Lepisosteus oculatus: one gene and its partner. The protein of the gene in region 1 binds, or shares a complex with, the protein of each later gene. Links are inferred from orthologs where the notes say so. Each region holds a gene or a part of one and is shown on either strand. Other genes may lie near its edges.

Evidence for each region.
Region 2: the proteins of setdb1a (region 1) and ube2e1 are in contact, whole or in part, in a crystal structure (PDB 8IYA), measured with the Homo sapiens proteins. The link is inferred for Lepisosteus oculatus from reciprocal best matches to the Homo sapiens genes SETDB1 and UBE2E1. Residues at the interface, in NP_001138887.1 of Homo sapiens: Glu868, Gly869, Tyr870, Glu871, Ser872; in NP_003332.1 of Homo sapiens: Asn125, Ser126, Gln127, Val129, Cys131, Leu132, Lys136, Asp163, Pro164, Leu165, Val166, Gly167, Ser168.

What each region holds. Positions count from the first base shown.
Region 1 is NC_090722.1:6,979,214-6,987,777, reverse strand, and holds the start of setdb1a (histone-lysine N-methyltransferase SETDB1-A), read right to left. Parts: upstream 3,584-8,564; 5' UTR 3,419-3,583; intron 3,386-3,418; exon of another isoform or gene 2,823-3,385; intron 2,122-2,822; exon of another isoform or gene 2,117-2,121; 5' UTR 2,085-2,116; coding exon 1,882-2,084; intron 1,680-1,881; coding exon 1,507-1,679; intron 997-1,506; coding exon 929-996; intron 513-928; coding exon 392-512; intron 1-391. Other genes in the region: aryl hydrocarbon receptor nuclear translocator-like, read left to right, coding at 7,539-7,560, 8,336-8,450. UniProt on the Homo sapiens protein: Histone methyltransferase that specifically trimethylates 'Lys-9' of histone H3. H3 'Lys-9' trimethylation represents a specific tag for epigenetic transcriptional repression by recruiting HP1 (CBX1, CBX3 and/or CBX5) proteins to methylated histones.
Region 2 is NC_090705.1:30,783,381-30,791,951, reverse strand, and holds the start of ube2e1 (ubiquitin-conjugating enzyme E2 E1), read right to left. Parts: upstream 4,356-8,571; 5' UTR 4,250-4,355; intron 3,711-4,249; exon of another isoform or gene 3,611-3,710; intron 3,392-3,610; 5' UTR 3,358-3,391; coding exon 3,200-3,357; intron 2,467-3,199; coding exon 2,416-2,466; intron 1-2,415. UniProt on the Homo sapiens protein: Accepts ubiquitin from the E1 complex and catalyzes its covalent attachment to other proteins. Catalyzes the covalent attachment of ISG15 to other proteins. Mediates the selective degradation of short-lived and abnormal proteins.

The DNA of each region.
Region 1 (8,564 bases):
CACCCGACTCAGAGCCCCGCCAGACACCACCACACCCGACTCAGAGCCCCGCCAGACACCACCACACCCGACTCAGAGCCCCGACAGACACCACCACACCCGTCTCTGTCTCGCGTCTCAGAGCCCCGCCAGACACCACCACACCCGACTCAGAGCCCCGCCAGAGACCACCACACCCGACTCGGAGCCCCGCCAGACACCACCACACCCGACTCCGTCTCCCGACTCAGAGCCCCGCCAGACACCACCACACCCGTCTCTGTCTCCAGTCTCTGAGCCCTGGCAGACATCAGGCACCACCCCACCTGTCTCACAATGCTGACAGACACTATCAAACCTGTCTCCAGTCTCAAAGCCCTCAGCCCCGCCCCGAGGCCAGACAGACACTGACCCCTGCTGGATGAACGCAGTAGTGTCGAGGGCAGCGCAGGCGCAGTCTTCTTGGACATGGTCTCGGCCAGCTTCTGCACATCCTGAGACGATTTCTTCAAGGCTGCCGCTGCGTCATCAAACTAGAGAGACAGAGAGATTTATCTGGGGAAGAATCACACCACACAGCCTGATACTGTACAGCACACACACACAGCATCAAAGCACACAGCCCAATACTGTACAAAACACACACACAGCCTGAAACTATACAGGACACACACACAGCCTCAGAGCACATAGCCTCAGAGCACACAGCCTCAGAGCACACAGCCTCAGAGCACACAGCCTCAGAGCACACAGCCTCAGAGCACACAGCCTCAGAGCACACAGCCTCAGAGCACACAGCCTCAGAGCACACAGCACGATATTGCACAGCGCACACACACAGCCCAAAACTATACAGCACACAGAAAGCCTCGCTCTGTTTAGACAGCACAGAGAAGAGAACAGGAGACTATGGACACAGCAGGAGGAGAAAGAGTGACCAGACACTCACTGTGGAATCCTTGACGGGGGTGGTCACTTTCTTGGCTGGAGAGGTGACATTCGGGTGGGCCGGAGTGACTGTGATGGAGGGACAGGAAAGGAGATCAATATGGAATTTATACAGCTCAAGCAGGTACCTGTGTCAGTGTGCGTCGGCTGCAAAGGAACAAGTAAAGGTTTATTCCTGCTGAAAAGAGAATCAAGGAAAAACAACGTTTTGGCTGTGGAGCCTTCTTCACACCCGAAACACAAACGTTTCTTTTCTTTTCTTTTCAGCATGGAATAAACCTTTACTTGTTTCTTTGAATTTATATAGTGCCCTGCACACAGAAACAACAGGCGTGGGATGATTCTTCACGCTAAATATTCCTGAGCCTTGAAGAGGCAGACACCGGACAGGCGCCTGACCTCTGGTTTAATACAGCTGGACACCAGACTGGTGCCTGACCTCTGGTTTAATACAGCTGGACACCAGCAGGCGCCTGTCCAGGCAACTCAGATTGTGCAGCTCATGGGAGGCTGTGCTCTGGGATCCTCTGGTGTGAAAGGTGCTATATAAGAGGGAAGGAATTCGTATTCAACACGTACTGCATCCCACAGCCACAACATCATCGTCGTCGTCATCATCATCGATCTCGATGACCTCAGAGGGCCTGAGGGCCAGACGATCCCCCTGATCATCGTCCGAGCTGCTGTCGCGGTACGTCAGACCCATGCTGGAGTAGAGGTCTCGAACCAGGCCCTCACATTCCTGCATCGACCTGGGGGGACACCACAGGACTGGTCACTCACTGACCACATTGACCACTGGACACACCTCAAGGCCAGTCATTGGCCACACTGTCCTCAGAACAAGCAGAGAGACCTGTCACTCACTGTCCTCAGAACAGGACACCCCCTGACCGCGCTGCCCCGGGGACAGGACACCCCCTGACAGCGCTGTCCCGGGGACAGGTCACTCACTGGAAGGCGGTGTCGAAGAGCCGGTCCACGCGCGACACCTCCGCCTCCCTCTGCTGCACCTGGCGCTCCAGCTGCTCCAGCTCGGCCGTCTTCCTGGCCACAGCCTCGCTCCTGAGGATCTCCTCCCGGACCCACTGCCGCAGCTCGTCCAGGGACACACCCAGCTCCTCCTGCAGCTCCTGCTCCATCTCCACCTCGTCCATCTGCAGCAGCGGACACACAGCACCGAGACACACTGCACTGAGAGAGAGGGGTTCATACAGACACACTGACAGACTGGACACTCCAGTACATTAACACTGCACTGAGAGAGAGGGGTTCATACAGACACACTGACTGGACACTCCAGTACATTAACGCTGCACTGAGAGAGAGGGGTTAATACAGACACACTGACTGGACACTCCAGTACATTAACACTGCACTGAGAGAGAGGGGTTCATACAGACACACTGACTGGACACTCCAGTACATTAACACTGCACTGAGAGAGAGGTACACTGCTGTGAGTGTAACATTGTAAGAAAACTACAGTCCCCTTTACCCCAAAGGAATCCAAAAGACACTGGTGTTGACACCCCACTCTGACAGTGTCCTGGGATCTGTAGTGACCAGTAGTCAGGACACCAGGGTCAACACCCCACTCTTACTGACAGTGTCCTGGGGTCTGTAGTGACCAGCAGGACTTCTGTTTAACATTAATACCGAAGGAGTACACCTCCTACTGCTGAGTATCTGACCTAGAGATGAGTACACATGTTACGTGATGTGGCGACCTTGTGGCTGCAGGACAGAGGTCCTACAGTGTTCTTGGGCTTCGGACACCGGACTATAGCAGAAACCTACACAGCGAACGTTTTCAGGTGTTCAATGATGTTACGCGTAGAGCAGAACTAATTTTACACAAAAGGTTGTTGAAGTTCGTTGAGATCACTACTAACCTCACGCACGTTTTCAATTTTCCACACTTTTAGAATTAGCAGCAGCTTCGGCTGCGAGACGAGACGAAACGAGGGGTACTGATTTAGATCCAAAACCTTTGCGGAAGGAAGACTTCAAAATATAAATGTATTTTAAAAACAACTCGTCATCTGCATTGAGCACCTCCATTGAAGGCGATGAAGGCGGTGTTACTGCGGCAAATGAACGTCATGGGAAATGTAGTTTTTTATCTCCCGCAATTCTTTAAATACGAAGGAGAGTTACGACGAAGAAAACATCAACTCCCAGCATACCATGCGCTGCGCTCGCAGGGCGCGCGGGTCTGACGTAAGGTGAGGGCGAATTTAAAACACCTCATCGCGTTCTTTTAATTTCTCACAAAAAAAACTATATAGTTACATATTTGTGATTATATGCAGTAAATATGAGAGTAAGGGGTTATCTTTACGAAATAAACGTTGTTACCGAAAGCCATAATTTGGACAAATTTAGCTGTAAGCATTCGCTCTTTATCGCAGATGTCCCCTCTCTACAAAACGACGTCTGCCCACCTGAGAAATTAACGACAAACGACTCCGGTTTTAACCAGAATTACCTCTCCTTCCAAGGCGTTTCGCCGGTAGAGGGTCACTGTAGATATTACTCTTTCGCTATTTCATAAAGAAATTTTTGAGCCAGATTCCAGTCTCCGAGCTTGTCTCCCTTTCTCCCCCTTCCCAGAGAGAGTCCATGAGGGAACACGCCCACTGCAGTCGTCGCCACGCCCCCAGACCTAATGAGCGCCAATCAGCAATGCTGATCGACGTGAGTGATAGGGGAGGCAACCAATAGGCTCCACAGTAGCGTGAGGTAAGAGGAAAGGCCCCTCCGACGATGGCAGGTTTGTCCAATAAAGAGCGCTAAACCGTGATAGGCGTCGGTTTGAACCAATCAGTGCAGCCAGAGGTTCTGGCGGGAGCTGACCTGTCAAGGGTTTGTATGCCTAGAGTTTACAACACGTGGTCGAAGCTCTTCTGTAATTGCTGAACGCATTATTCTTGAGCAGGGCAATGTGTAAGCAGCGTGGCTGTCAATGCCTGGCACAGATACCTATAAATGTACAAGAATCCACTCTGTCTCAGTGGGTCAGTGCACTCCTCCTGGTCAGAGCTGGGAATTCTGAGACAGGACACAAAACACAGTCGTTCTTCCAGATCCTTTTATTTCAGCAACTCCTGGTCTGGATAAAACTGCACACTGCTCCCCATGGTCCAGCCCTGCCCCGTCGCCCAGTCTACCGCCAGTCTCCCAGTCTACCCCCTGTCTCCCAGTCTACCGCCTGTCTCCAGCTCTGCCCCCTGTCTCCCACTGTGCCCCCAGTCTCCCAGTCTACCCCCAGTCTCCCACTCTGCGCCCAGTCTCCCAGTCTACCCCCAGTCTACCAGTTTGTCCACTGTCTCCCACTCCGCCCCCTGTCTCCCAGTCTACCGCCTGTCTCCCACTCTGCCCCCAGTCTCCCAGTTTGTCCACTGTCTCCCACTCTGCCCCCTGTCTCCCAGTTTGTCCACTGTCTCCCACTCTGCCCCCTGTCTCCCAGTCTACCGCCTGTCTCCCACTCTGCCCCCAGTCTCCCAGTCTACCCCCTGTCTCCCAGTCTACCCCCAGTCTCCCAGTCTACCCCCAGTCTCCCACTCTGCCCCCAGTCTCCCAGTCTACCGCCTGTCTCCCAGTTTGTCCACTGTCTCCCACTCTGCCCCCAGTCTCCCAGTCTCCCACTCTGCCCCCAGTCTCCCAGCCGCTGGGGGTGCTGCTCTCAGCCTCAGTTGCTGATCTGCTCCTCCTGCCAGGTGGAGGTGGGGATGGCACTGTAGGGGTCGACCACCATCTGGGCGCAGCGCACCACCGTCACCAGCAGGAAGAAGCACAGCAGGAAGAGGAAGGCCAGAGCGAAGCCCTTGTCAACGTCCACCGGGAGCTGGGGAGGGGCATCCGTGTCCATCTGGACCAGCTGTCCTCCTGGTGTTACAGCCCTGTTTCTTAACCACTGGACCAGCTGTCTTCCCGGTGTACCAGCCCTGTGTCTTCACCTCTGGACCAGCTGTCCTCCTGGTGTAACAGCCCTGTGTCTTATCCACTGGACCGGCTGTCCTCCTGGTGTAACAGCCCTGTGTCTTATCCACTGGACCGGCTGTCCTCCCGGTGTAACAAGACCTTAACACCTGGACCTGTCAGGTCTCCTCACTTGAGCAAAGTCTCGTCGAACTGGATGAACTCCATGTTATTACTGTAAACATATTAAACAATCAGAAAAGCCCAGGAATCAAACAGCAGAGTGACCCGCGGGTCTCTCGGTCCGCCCCAGGCAGTGTGCGTGACAGGCAGTGCGAGAGTCGCTCTCTGACGCCAGTCCGGTCCTCCAGCGGGGTGGTGGCTCAGCAGTGGCCCAGTGGGATCCAGTTCGGTTTGGGTCCCAGCTACAGGCTCAGGACCGGGGTTCTGCAGAGCCCTGTCGAGACTGAGAGACGCAGGGGGGTGAGTCCCATTGTGCAGGAACGGGAGGGGGCTCATTATGGAACGCAGGTACGGGTGACCCCCTGACCCCTGACCCCTGACCCTGGCGCTAACACCTGTACAGGGCAGCTAGCTAGTGAAAGCAGCATAAACGTGCCCTGAACCCAACACTGTCACACGCTGGGGAAAAACGAAACAATCCTTAATCGGAAATTCAAGGAATTTTAACAGCGTATGCAGTGACTTCTTGCCTCTCCGAGGCCAGATCCCAGAACTCCAGTAGGGAACATGGCGGATCAGCCGGTGTGTGTGTGGGAAACGGCGGCCTCACACTTACCCATGCCCTGGTTAGTGTGTGTGGTCACACAGCGGCGGTATCGCCTCGCCGCTCGCTCCTGCCTTCGGGATTCGGGAGGGTCTGCAGGGATGCACTGCTGCCGGAGCGATCCAGCTCGTTCTGGACCTCTGCGCTCGGCTGCGGGAGTTTTCCTCGTGTGCGCCACTGTCCCCCCCGGCTCATGAATACTTCAGCACGCTCCTGGTGTTGTCTTTCGGCCCGGCCCGCTGCCGAGGGGAACCCGATCCCGGCGCGGTGCCGCCGCGGCCCGCTCCACAGAGGGCACCTGCTCCGAGCCGTGTAACCCGGCACACGGCAACCCGTCACGCTTCATGGGAGTACTGGGAGACAGGGGCCATCCCCGTGGAGACAGCGTGAAGCCAGCCAGCTCCTCTTTCACAGACTCTGGACCAGCAGCAGACACTGCTAGTGTACTCTTTACTGCGTTTACCCTCATCTCACTGGGCTGGACTGCACTGGACTGTGCTTTTACCCTGATCTCACTGAGCTTTACTGTACTGTACTGCACTTTTACCCTGATCTCACTGTGCTTTTACCCTGATCTCACTGGGCTGTACTGCACTGTACTGTGCTTTTACCCTGATCCCACTGGGCTATCCTGCACTGCACTATGCTTTTACCCTGATCTCACTGGGCTTTACTGCACTGTACTGCGCTTTTACCCTGATCTCACTGGGCTGTACTGCACTGGACTGGGCTTTTACCCTGATCTCACTGGGCTTCACTGCACTGTGCTTTTACCCTGATCTCATTGTGCTGTACTGCACTGTACTGTACTATGCTTTTACCCTGATCTCACTGGGCTGCCCTGTACTGTGCTTTTACCCCGATCTCACTGGGCTTCACTGCACTGTACTGTGCTTTTACCCCGATCTCACTGGGCTTTACAAAGGACAAGATTTCTGTGACAAGTTATTCAGTGCAGGGATGAGTCAGCAAACAGCTGCCCCACGGCCCCTTTGCAAAGCTAACGAACAGGAATGATAAGCAAATGTTTTCATAATACTGTAGGATTTAATGAGCTGCGTTACTGAAGCGGATACCCTGGTTTCAAATTCAACTTCTGAAAGAGCTTTATTGGCATGAGAAGAATGACGTGTTACCAAAGCAGACACAATCAACACAATATTTGCATACACCACATAAAACATTATTGTGAGAGAGGGTTGGGGTTTTCTTTAACGCTTCTAGGATCAATTGACGGAAAAGTAGCTCCTCTCCTTCACCTTTTGTTCCTGTTCTCGTGTTTGTGTTTATGTTAAACACTGAGATTGCAGGTCTGTACTCGACATAATTAATCAGAAACTCGCCTCTCCACAAAATCACTCTCTCCCTGCAGGGACCGCGGAGGATGACAAATACCAGATGTCGAAATATCTTTCACAACAAGCGCATTTCCTGTGGAAAAATACAAAAGATCTCGATTAAAAACACTCAAACCGCCCCAGACTGTCCCTTTAAACAATTCTGTGTGGCGTCACCGATTTCGGCCCGCCCCCTCAGATCATTCTAGCCTGGTGTGAAAGGCGGGATCTCTCTGTTGCCTTTGCTAGATTCCGAATCTCTATTGGCCAAAAGAAAGGTACGTCCAATCTTTGTCATCACTGATTGGACAGAGGCACCGCCCATCATTTTAACACGTTTTTAATCCGTTTTGTAATCAAAGAGTTCGGTTGACGCGCGGGCCTCCGCTCCAGACTGCCATCTTGTTTCAAGGGAGGGTTTTCGCTGTGTGTTTTTTTTAAAAAACAAAAACATAAGAGGAAAAAAAGTATCTTTCGAAAAATAAGAAAAAAACCGACAACCCGTGTCTCACGCTGTCCCACACCGTGCGGAGGCGCCGAGGGCTGGATGTTTTCTAACGTTCATGGCCTCGACTTCGGCATCAGGTACGAAGCCCGTCGATTGCGTGCGGCCCCTGGGCGAGTGTGTGTCCCGGGGGTGTCAGAACAGGCCTGCCAGCCCTGAGCCCTCACGGGGCAGAGCCGGGGGCTCTGGGGGTCACCGGGCGGGGTTTTTTTTTGGGGAGGGGGGTCTTTCCGCTGGAGCCCGGCTGTCCGCCACAGCCTGGACAGCCCGGTCACTCCCGAGCCCACAGGGACGTCTGGCGAACCGGAGGGAGGAAACCTCTCTCTCCTGTCGCTGTCCGACTGACTGGCTGTCGCGGGAGGGTTTCGCCGAGGCGATGTCTGAAGCCGGCTGGGTGCTGGCACTGGGTGGGTGCGTGGGGAGGGGGCTCTCTGTGACTCGCGTCGCGCTGGTCCGTTCACTGGCCAGGACAGCAGCTGAAGCTAAAAGGAAAAGCGCTTCAAAGTGTCAGAGAAGTAGCCTTGATGATGATTCCCGACTGACAGCACTGTAAAACCTGGAGTGGATCAGACTGCTGCGCACTGGGAGTCTAACTGACAGCACTGTAAAACCTGGAGTGGATCAGACTGCTGTGCACTGGGAGTCTGACTGACAGCACTATAAACCCTGGAGTGGATCAGACTGCTGTGCACTGGGAGTCTGACTGACAGCACTGTAAAACCTGGAGTGGATCAGACTGCTGTGCACTGGGAGCGTGGCCCGTTTCCTCAGGCACCGATGTCTGGGCGCTCTGCGGTCTCGCTGTGGCCGGAGACTGACACTGTGTGACCCTCCTTCTCTCTCCCTCTCTCCCAGACATGGCGTCGGAGGTGTCCGGGCTGAGTGCGGGTGGGGCCCCTGGTAACCCGGGCCTGGGCGGGGCTGCCGCGGGCACCATGGTGCAGAGAGGGGCCACCAAGAGACGCGCTGTGTGAGTACAGGGGCGATGTGCTGCCTTCTTTTATATAGTGCCTTTCAAAGCAGCTTCTCAAAGCCCTTTATAGTAAGAAAGCAAAATCATTTGAAAGAAGACGATGATAATAAT
Region 2 (8,571 bases), on another chromosome or scaffold:
AGCGATTTCATCCTTTTGGGCGATGTTGGGGTACCCCTGCCACTCCAACACTGCTGCTTACCACCTCCTCCAGTAGTGTTGGCAGTGGGGAGGGTGATTTACTATTTCTAAATGACTTTTCTTTATAGCGCTGATTCAGTATATACAATCAGCAACAAATCAGTAGATTTAACTTTAACTGGTGCTACAAACTATTGGCAAGGTGTAGTTCACCAGTATAGGTGCTTGTATCATGGGCTGAAAAGCCTTTCTCTCAAGGACATAAACCATATGAAAGGTTTACAAGTGAGAGTATGCCATTTGGCCCATCTACCCCATAGTTACCACTGAATTATTCCTAGGATCTCCTCCAGCCAATCTTTAAAAACCAGGGACTGACTTGAACAACATAGTGAGATAGCGTGTTCCATCCTCCAACAACCCTTCGGATAAAGGCATGCCTCCTGTTCCGAGCTTTAAAAGAACTTTCATTTAAGTTACCACTTGTGCCCTTTGCTTCAAGTCTCTGAAGAAATTAACTCTGTTGCCTTTAAGAATTTTGAATCCTTTTGTCAGCTCCCCTCATAGTCTTTGTTCAAGACCAAAAAGGTTCAGTTCCTTCAGCTTGTCAGTGTAGGATATTCCCTTAAATCCTGAAATGTATCTAGTGGGTCTTCTCTGGACTGATTCTAAAGCAGCAATTTGTTTTCTATGTTGCGACGACCAAAACTGTACACAAATGCATGGTATTGCAGTGCATTTTACGATTTGATCCAATCTTAACATAACATTACTTAATTTTAATTCTGCGCTTATAACATAAAGGCAATAATAAGAATAATAGGGAGACAACTGCCTCTTCTCAGTTTCTAAGGATGTTTAGTCCCCTTGTTTCTATGAAACTTTTACTTTGTACTAAGTAAATATTGTAACGCTTACGGCCGACAGGCACTGTGTAAGAGCCGGCGTACCAGAGCGGGTGACGTCACCGCCCTTCCCTGTGATAGCAGGACCACAGCTACTGGGCTGTGAAGAGATCTCTCTTTAGCTCACGGGGCTAGGTCGCTGCAGAGAGACGCGGAAGTCCCGGGTTCGAGCCCCCGATGGTGCAGGGGCCGACCAGATGCGGCAAGGGCGCCCGCCTGAGCCCCCGTTGCGTTACAATATAATATAAAGTGCAGGGAGAGGTGCTGTTGTGTGGATGAGATGCTAAAATGAGATCCTGTCGACTTGGTTATTAAAGATTCCACGGTACTGTTTCTAAGAGCACGGGCGTTAACTTAGATGTCCAGTCTGACTTTTGTTCTGGTCTTGCCCAATCTGGAGTACCTCATTTCTGCGTTAATCCACCTGGTGAAGCAGAACTGGTGAACAGCTCAGATGGTCCAAATGGCTTCCTTTCATTTGTGAATCTCCTGCTCTTAAGAAATTTCTGTCTTCCACACCTGATCTGCAATGTATTGGAGCTGGTGATGCAAAAAAAGCTACACCTCTATCTCGGTTATGAGTAGAGGATGAAGTGGGACCCTGGTTATAAAGGAAAGTGCTCTGGGATCCTTTAAGCTGAAAAGTAATATATAAATGCAACTCATTATTGTTACCAACTGCCTGAATGAAGACAGCTTTTTAAGAATTGTTATAGGTACACAATCAATCACTGACCAATGACAAGCAAGGTTTCCAGCATAAAAACACTCTAAAATCTTACACAGAACTAGCATACTAATAATTAAAAAAACAATTCACTGAATCAATCCCAAAACAAACAGTCCCTATGGGAATAAGGGTGTTGAAAAGGTTTAGTGAAATGTCCTCAAAGTTATTTGGAAAACATACTTTAAATATAATGTATTAGTGGATATATTAAACTGTTAAACAACTGCACAAAATAAAGAGACAATACACATTTGAAAGTGTATTTTGCACAGGTGCATCTTTCTCATTATAAGTTTAAAGAAACAGCTTTACGTGACTGTGTAAGATGAATGCAAACGCCATCAAAAATAAAATCACTGCTATTTCCGTTCATGTAAAGTCTATTTCTCTTTTGCCCCTGCTGAGCCAAAAGAAACCTTTATACTGTGCAATGACACAAGGAGGGGGAAAATCCCGACCCCTTCTCCCATTCCTCTGCATTGCACAGAGGGAATCCGATTTCTTTTTAACAGCTCACCTCTTAGGGAACAAAAAACCGGTGTGGTCCTTTCTAAATTATTTAGATGACTACGAGGATCTCGCACAGTATCTCTGATTATGCCTTAACGGTCTCTTGCCAGAACACAAAAAGGATGCAGCACAATACTGAATAATCTCCCGAGTCGTACCAGGCGATTGCTGTCGGCCGACACAAATTCACAGCCAAGCTCTGCGCCTTTAAGGAAGCACTCTTGATAGGGAAATCCTAACCGTAATAATAAAATAACCAAACCCGGGTACCTGCAGTTCGGAGGAGGGTCCAGAGTGATATCTGCCAGCTCCTTCTGGATTCTGAAGGAAACAGAAACCACTCGTTAGTCTCGATCAGTCGGTACCGAAGGAATCAGTGATTTACATCGCACGCAGGCACAGCTGCTGACCTCTGCCTGCGAAACAAACATGGCCGCTCCCAGCAGCTCCTACTCACCAATATTTTAAAGATGAAATAACCCACTTCTGGACTGATTTCGCGGGTGGCCCTCACCTGGAGCCAAAATACCTTCGCCTTACAAGCAGCTACCGAAGGAATTTCGCCAATCCCCCCCTCCTAATTTTCGCAATAAACTGCTTAAGCTAATATGCAAATGAGCTGGTTCCCCATTGAAACAGAATAGCTGAGCTTGTTGTGAGATCTCTTAAAGGAGACACGCCTGAGGAAGCGTCGGTTGCATGGGAGAAAGTGTTATTTCAGCATGAGCCTGAATTTAAATAATCATATTTAAAAAAATACGAAGTAAAACCCACTCATTCTCAAAGAAGGGGTGGTTTTCTTCGGGCTGGGAAGCTATCAGGACTAAGAACTGGTGGATGAGCTTCCAAATACATCTTAATACGAAGTTGGTTCGTATGACGCTACTGCAGTCCTCCCAAGGAAAAAAAAAATGTGTTTAACCTGAAAACTAGATCGCACACAGCCAAGGGTTGCTAATATCACACTAAGCGTTAACTCTTTCTGTCCCGATACAATGGCTGTCCGACCGGTGATAACTGGCATTGCTCAGCCCTCAACCGATTCCCCCTTTACCTCTTTGCGCTCGTAGAAAGCAGTTTGGAGGTTTTGCTCATACTGGCTTTGCTCTCCTTCTTCTTGCTGGTTGTTTCTTTCTCCTTCTGATGTTGAGCGGAGGACGAGGAAGACGACGACGATGAGCTAGTACTGGCCCTCGAATCCTCATCCGACATACCGGCCGCACGGAACGGAAAAAAAAAACCCAACCTGGAAAGGCGAGCAGAGGGAATCGAGGGTTAGCTTCCGAAATAAATGCATACCAAATAAGACTGGTAGACGACACGCCTGTGGCATGTGGGTTTACCCCCAAGATCAGCCTCTTTGCACCTTCTCACGGTCGCCACTCCTAAAGACTGCGTGTGAAGTTGTGCAGCCAGGGCAAAACACCCCCCTAAACTCCGATTTTCTGAAGTCAAGGGAACTTACTTTCTGTCCGAGACTAATGTGCCAAACAACTGTCCTGAACTCCTCCGTTCCTCCCAACGCCTTGTGCTCCTCTCCCAAACAACACACTTCGCCGGAGTGGGAATGAATATTTACCTGCACCCCAGCAATTCAGAGACAGCCAGCTCACAGCTGGGAACTGGGTACAGCTCCGCACAGCTAATGAAAGATAAATAGATAGATATATATCCGTACTCTCATGTATCTGGCTACCCCAACGTCGCATCCATTCTGGAAATGTTTGACTTGCTTTTCAGTCCCCAAGACCCCATATAGTTGATCAAACTTCACACCCCGAAAAACAACTAACCAAAGCCTAAAATCTCAAACGGGTTTCATCCAACTGATCAATTTAACCTCTGGTCTTCCTTGCGGGGGTATATCAGCAGTGTCTCCTTTTTTTTTTCTCTCTCCTCTCAACATTGCAACCGATCTGTCTATTCAGCTCCACTCGTCGCTCGGATCCTTTTCTTCATTCTGCTTTTTCCGACAGGTTAATATCCTCGTTAACCTCGCAAAAACTTCTACAGGCGGCCCCCTGTCGATGCCAGAGACCTACCGGGGGCCGTTAAGGAGAGTATTTACTGGCATTAAAGAATATTTTCGTCTTTTAAACGGTACCTCTCTTTGTGTCTGTGACTCCGCTGCCTGGGCTCGTGTCTCTCCCCTCTCGCGGAGCGGAAGTGCTGCTGCAGCAGCAGCTATTAAACAGGCAATGGCTTCTATTCTATCGGACTCGCTCGCAAATGATAATGTCAAGGAAAAACACGGGGTGGGGGAGTCTGGATGTGAACCGAGATCTGAGTATTCACATGGCCACAATTGTTTATTTTTTTTTTCTAAACCCCTTCCTGTACCTAAAGCATACTCGAATACACGTATATCACCATTTCGTGTCAACATTGATATCCACAGTTAATGTACGTGTTACTTTCTTAGAATGTGTGTTTTAAAAAGGGATGGGCAAGAGAATCAGCATTTGTTAAATAATTGATACAAAGCTGCATATCACTCATAGTGTTGTGAATAATTCAAAGCCAAAGAATTTGTATTTCTTCTCATGTAAGCAACCTCAACAAATCATTCTGATGTGCTTGTTGGTCTTGGCAATTCTCCGGACAAAATTAATAGCATGCGCTGTGTAGGGAGGTTTATTTATTTTTTTTACATTTTCAAAGTTTTGTGGCAAAGCAACTCTATGAAAATTATTTTAAGGAAATCCCCCGTTTGGACACTACTACGTTAAACTGAAACGAGATATTTTATGTCATGGAAGAACTAACCAGCGGTGTAATTCTTCCTGCGTAACAGAAAAGCAGAAGACAACATATGACAGTACCACTTTACCACCTCCCTCCCCCCGGTTATTCCTTATAATATTAGTATTACTTTACAGGTTGTGGGACGTGACAGTTTTGACCTCGTCTCCACATACTTGTCTCAGATTAGTTTGCAAGACAACGCTGGGTTATTCCATCCCTTATTACAGGGGTCTCAAACTCAATTCCTGGAGGGACTCGTGTCTTCTGAGTTTTTTTTCACCCACGTTCTCGATGACATTGTTGGTGTGATTTAACTAGGTGCTGAATTCTAATATTTCTAACCAGGCTCTAAGATGATTATTGTTAACTGGACCTTAAATGAAGTGAATGTCTTGTTTATCAACTATAGAAGACCTCAATAACATTTACATAAATGTCTAATTTAGAGAACTGAGTATGAGACCCTGTTTTTAATTCTAACCTCGCTATTCATTGCTGTGATTCCAAAATAAAATACGTTTTTTTTTTACTTTTAAATGTTCTCTTCACAATACAAAAACAAATCTGTCCTGAGTTTAGAACAAGCAAGACCACTTTATTTTGCCATACACTAGTATTGCTATACTGATGTCTTGAATGACAAAACCCTCCCCAATTATGTCAGTTCCTGGAGGGTCTAGTGTCTTCTCATTTTTTTATTCTAATTTGAGCACCGATTACACAACATTTTGTTTTAATTTTACATATTTAGAGTTTAAAAAAATCTTTTACAGTTGATTACTAAAACAGTTGTTTCATTTACATTTCATGTTTTACTTACTGTTACTTAGAAAACACCTCAGAGCCAGGAGCAAAGTATAAAAATTGTGCTGTTAATGAAATAATCTGACCAATTGGTATAAATGAGAGCATGAGTAGAAAAAAAAAACATCAGGCCCTACAGGAAATGAGTCTGAAACCTCTTCACCAAAACATTCAGTCATAAGACCTAGACAAGGGGTGTGGAATTTTATTCCATGGCTGCTCTTAATCATACGTTTTACTGCACCAAATTTAACAATTTTCAAAGATCTTCAACTGTTGATGATGTTGATTTCTAAAGAATGAGAAACCCTGCTGCACCCTGCCCCTTGAGTCCTTGATTTGTCTGCCTATAACCCAGACATTAAGGTGACCAGGCCTTCCAGGTCTTGTTCATTCAAATAGTGTTAAAAAAAGGGCGCTTCTACGACTAGACAAAACACAGTACCCACCTACGCTTCTGGATAGCCTTCTTGACAGAGGGTCATTAAGAAGGAAGCAGAACAGTTTGCAGATCAAACCGTTTTTTAAAAGTTATAGAACTGTCAGTTGTTTTTCTATTCCTATTACTGTATACTAATGTTTGAGGATCCACAGTCCTGCAGAAGTGTTCTAAATACATTAATTATCGGTAAGATGCTTATTCACGGTAATAGTTGTAGCACACCTGAGCCTGTCTGAGAAGCACAGGAACGCAAGACAAGGCTATACTATGGATTTTTAAAGCCTGGCAACACCTTAACAGAAAAAAAATGAGAGAACCAAAAAAAAAAACCCAGGATTTTCTTTTTACCAAACAGGCTATATGCGTCACAATCTGTAATTGGGATTACTAAACTAGTCAAACTCAACAAACTTCTGTATTTTTACAAATATCACGGTGTGCTGAGTAATTGTGGGTGGATCGTTGCCTTATCAGGGCCTGTCTTGTGGAGACGTTCATGTTACATAATACATCTGGTGAGGGAATACAGGAAGAGGGGGGTCGTATCATCCCAGTCTGTCCTGGGCAGGAGTGGGCACCCAGATGGAACAGTAGATTGGGTAATGGACTGGAGCTCTGTAGGAGCAGTGAAAGACGGAGAGTCAACATGTTGACAAATTTCAGCTGTGAGCAAGATGGGCATTCATATCATGGTTTTTAAAATGAAATTCTAAAATGTAAAGATATCACAGAAACAAATAAAACATACTGTACTTTGTAGCTCCCGGAAATAGATTAAAAAAAACCTTTACTGGTTTTAAACACTGTAAGAGGAAGTTGGTTTGAAGTTAAGAAACTGTATTTGTATACTCTTTGCAAATATCTAATTGAAGGGACAGAAATGTGTAAACACATCTAGACAGAAATTAATATGAAGAAACTATTGTAAAATGCTTCAAGATCCCTTGGGATGAAAAGCAGTATATAAATAGAAACAACAATTATTCATTAATCTTGTCTGGTAGAACTCAGTAAAAATCAGGGTTCCTCCAGTCTACAAATTCCCCAGAATCTTTCAGCATCAGTTGAATCTGAGAAATCATATACTGTACTTGAGAGAGTTTCTGTTTTTTCTTCTGTCAAACTATTAAATGGCCAACAGCCATATCACCCTGCAACTCACAACTGGCCACTGAAGCTAAGCAGGTGTGAGCCTGGTCAGTACCTGGCTGGGAGACCTCCTGGGAAAAACTAAGGTTGCTGCTGGAAGAGGTGTCAGTGGGGCCAGCAGGGGGTGCTCGCCCTATGGTCCATGTGGGTCCTAATGCCCCAGTATAGTGACGGGGACACTATACTGTAAACAGGCGCCGTCCTCCGGATGAGACTTAAAACCGAGGTCCTGACTCTCTGTGGTCATTAAAACTCCCGGGGTGTTTCTCGAAAAGAGTAGGGGTGTAACCCCGGCGTCCTGGCCAAATTTCCCATCGGCCTTTATCAATCATGGCCTCCTAATAATCCCCCTCTATGAATTGGCTTCATTACTTTGTTCTCGAACCCCCCCTTTCCATTCCGACGGCAGGTGGAGCGACGCGCCGGTTGGAATATTTCTTGGTCGCAGTTAATGGCAACGTCTGCTCAAAGATTTGGTTCAAACCACCAAACGGAGACTGCTGTGCCAACAAGCGGACCCTTCTGATGCGGGATTAACACTAGGAAAGAGAGAAACTATTAAAGCACTGGACTGGCAAATCCAGGTTGTAGGTCATTGTTGGATACTGTACCAAAGAGTTTTTTTCTTCCCTAAAGGAGTCCAGCCTATCTGGAAAAAGAGCTAAGAGCTGAGCTTTCAGTTGTTAAAGCATGCATACTTCAGCTATGACATTTTACACAGTGCACGAGAAATAAAAGTAGGAATTAATCCTTGAAACCCTTTGAGTGTTCAAAACCTATTCACGGGAATATCTATTGAAGCAGAGTGCCTTCAAATAGGTCACAACAACACTGTCAAAACTGTTATTTTTGTTTTTCAGTCGTGTGTTTTGGAGCTGTGATCAAGAGATTAATTTGAATGATAAGTACAATATATTGTAAGTTTTATTTTGAAGTAGGCCTCATTCCAAGCATACATTCGAACATATTAAAACAAAACAATACCTTGGTTTACTGCAGTGATTTTAACTGAAGGTGCTGCAACACATTCACAAGTCATACAAATACAAGTCAGTATTTTGTTGCATATTTCTTTGAGACAATAACAGCCTTCTGAGGTCAACAAACCCTATGTGTAATTATTTTGAGATCATTTGCTCCTCTTAATTGGAGTTATCTTTTCTTGGGGTGTTTTGACTTTTTTATTTAGCATGTAATCTAGACTGCTGCTTGTATCTGCCAAACCCTGACAAAATAAAAAACAAAACAAAATGTAATGCTATTTTTGCAATGCAATGTAAATCTGA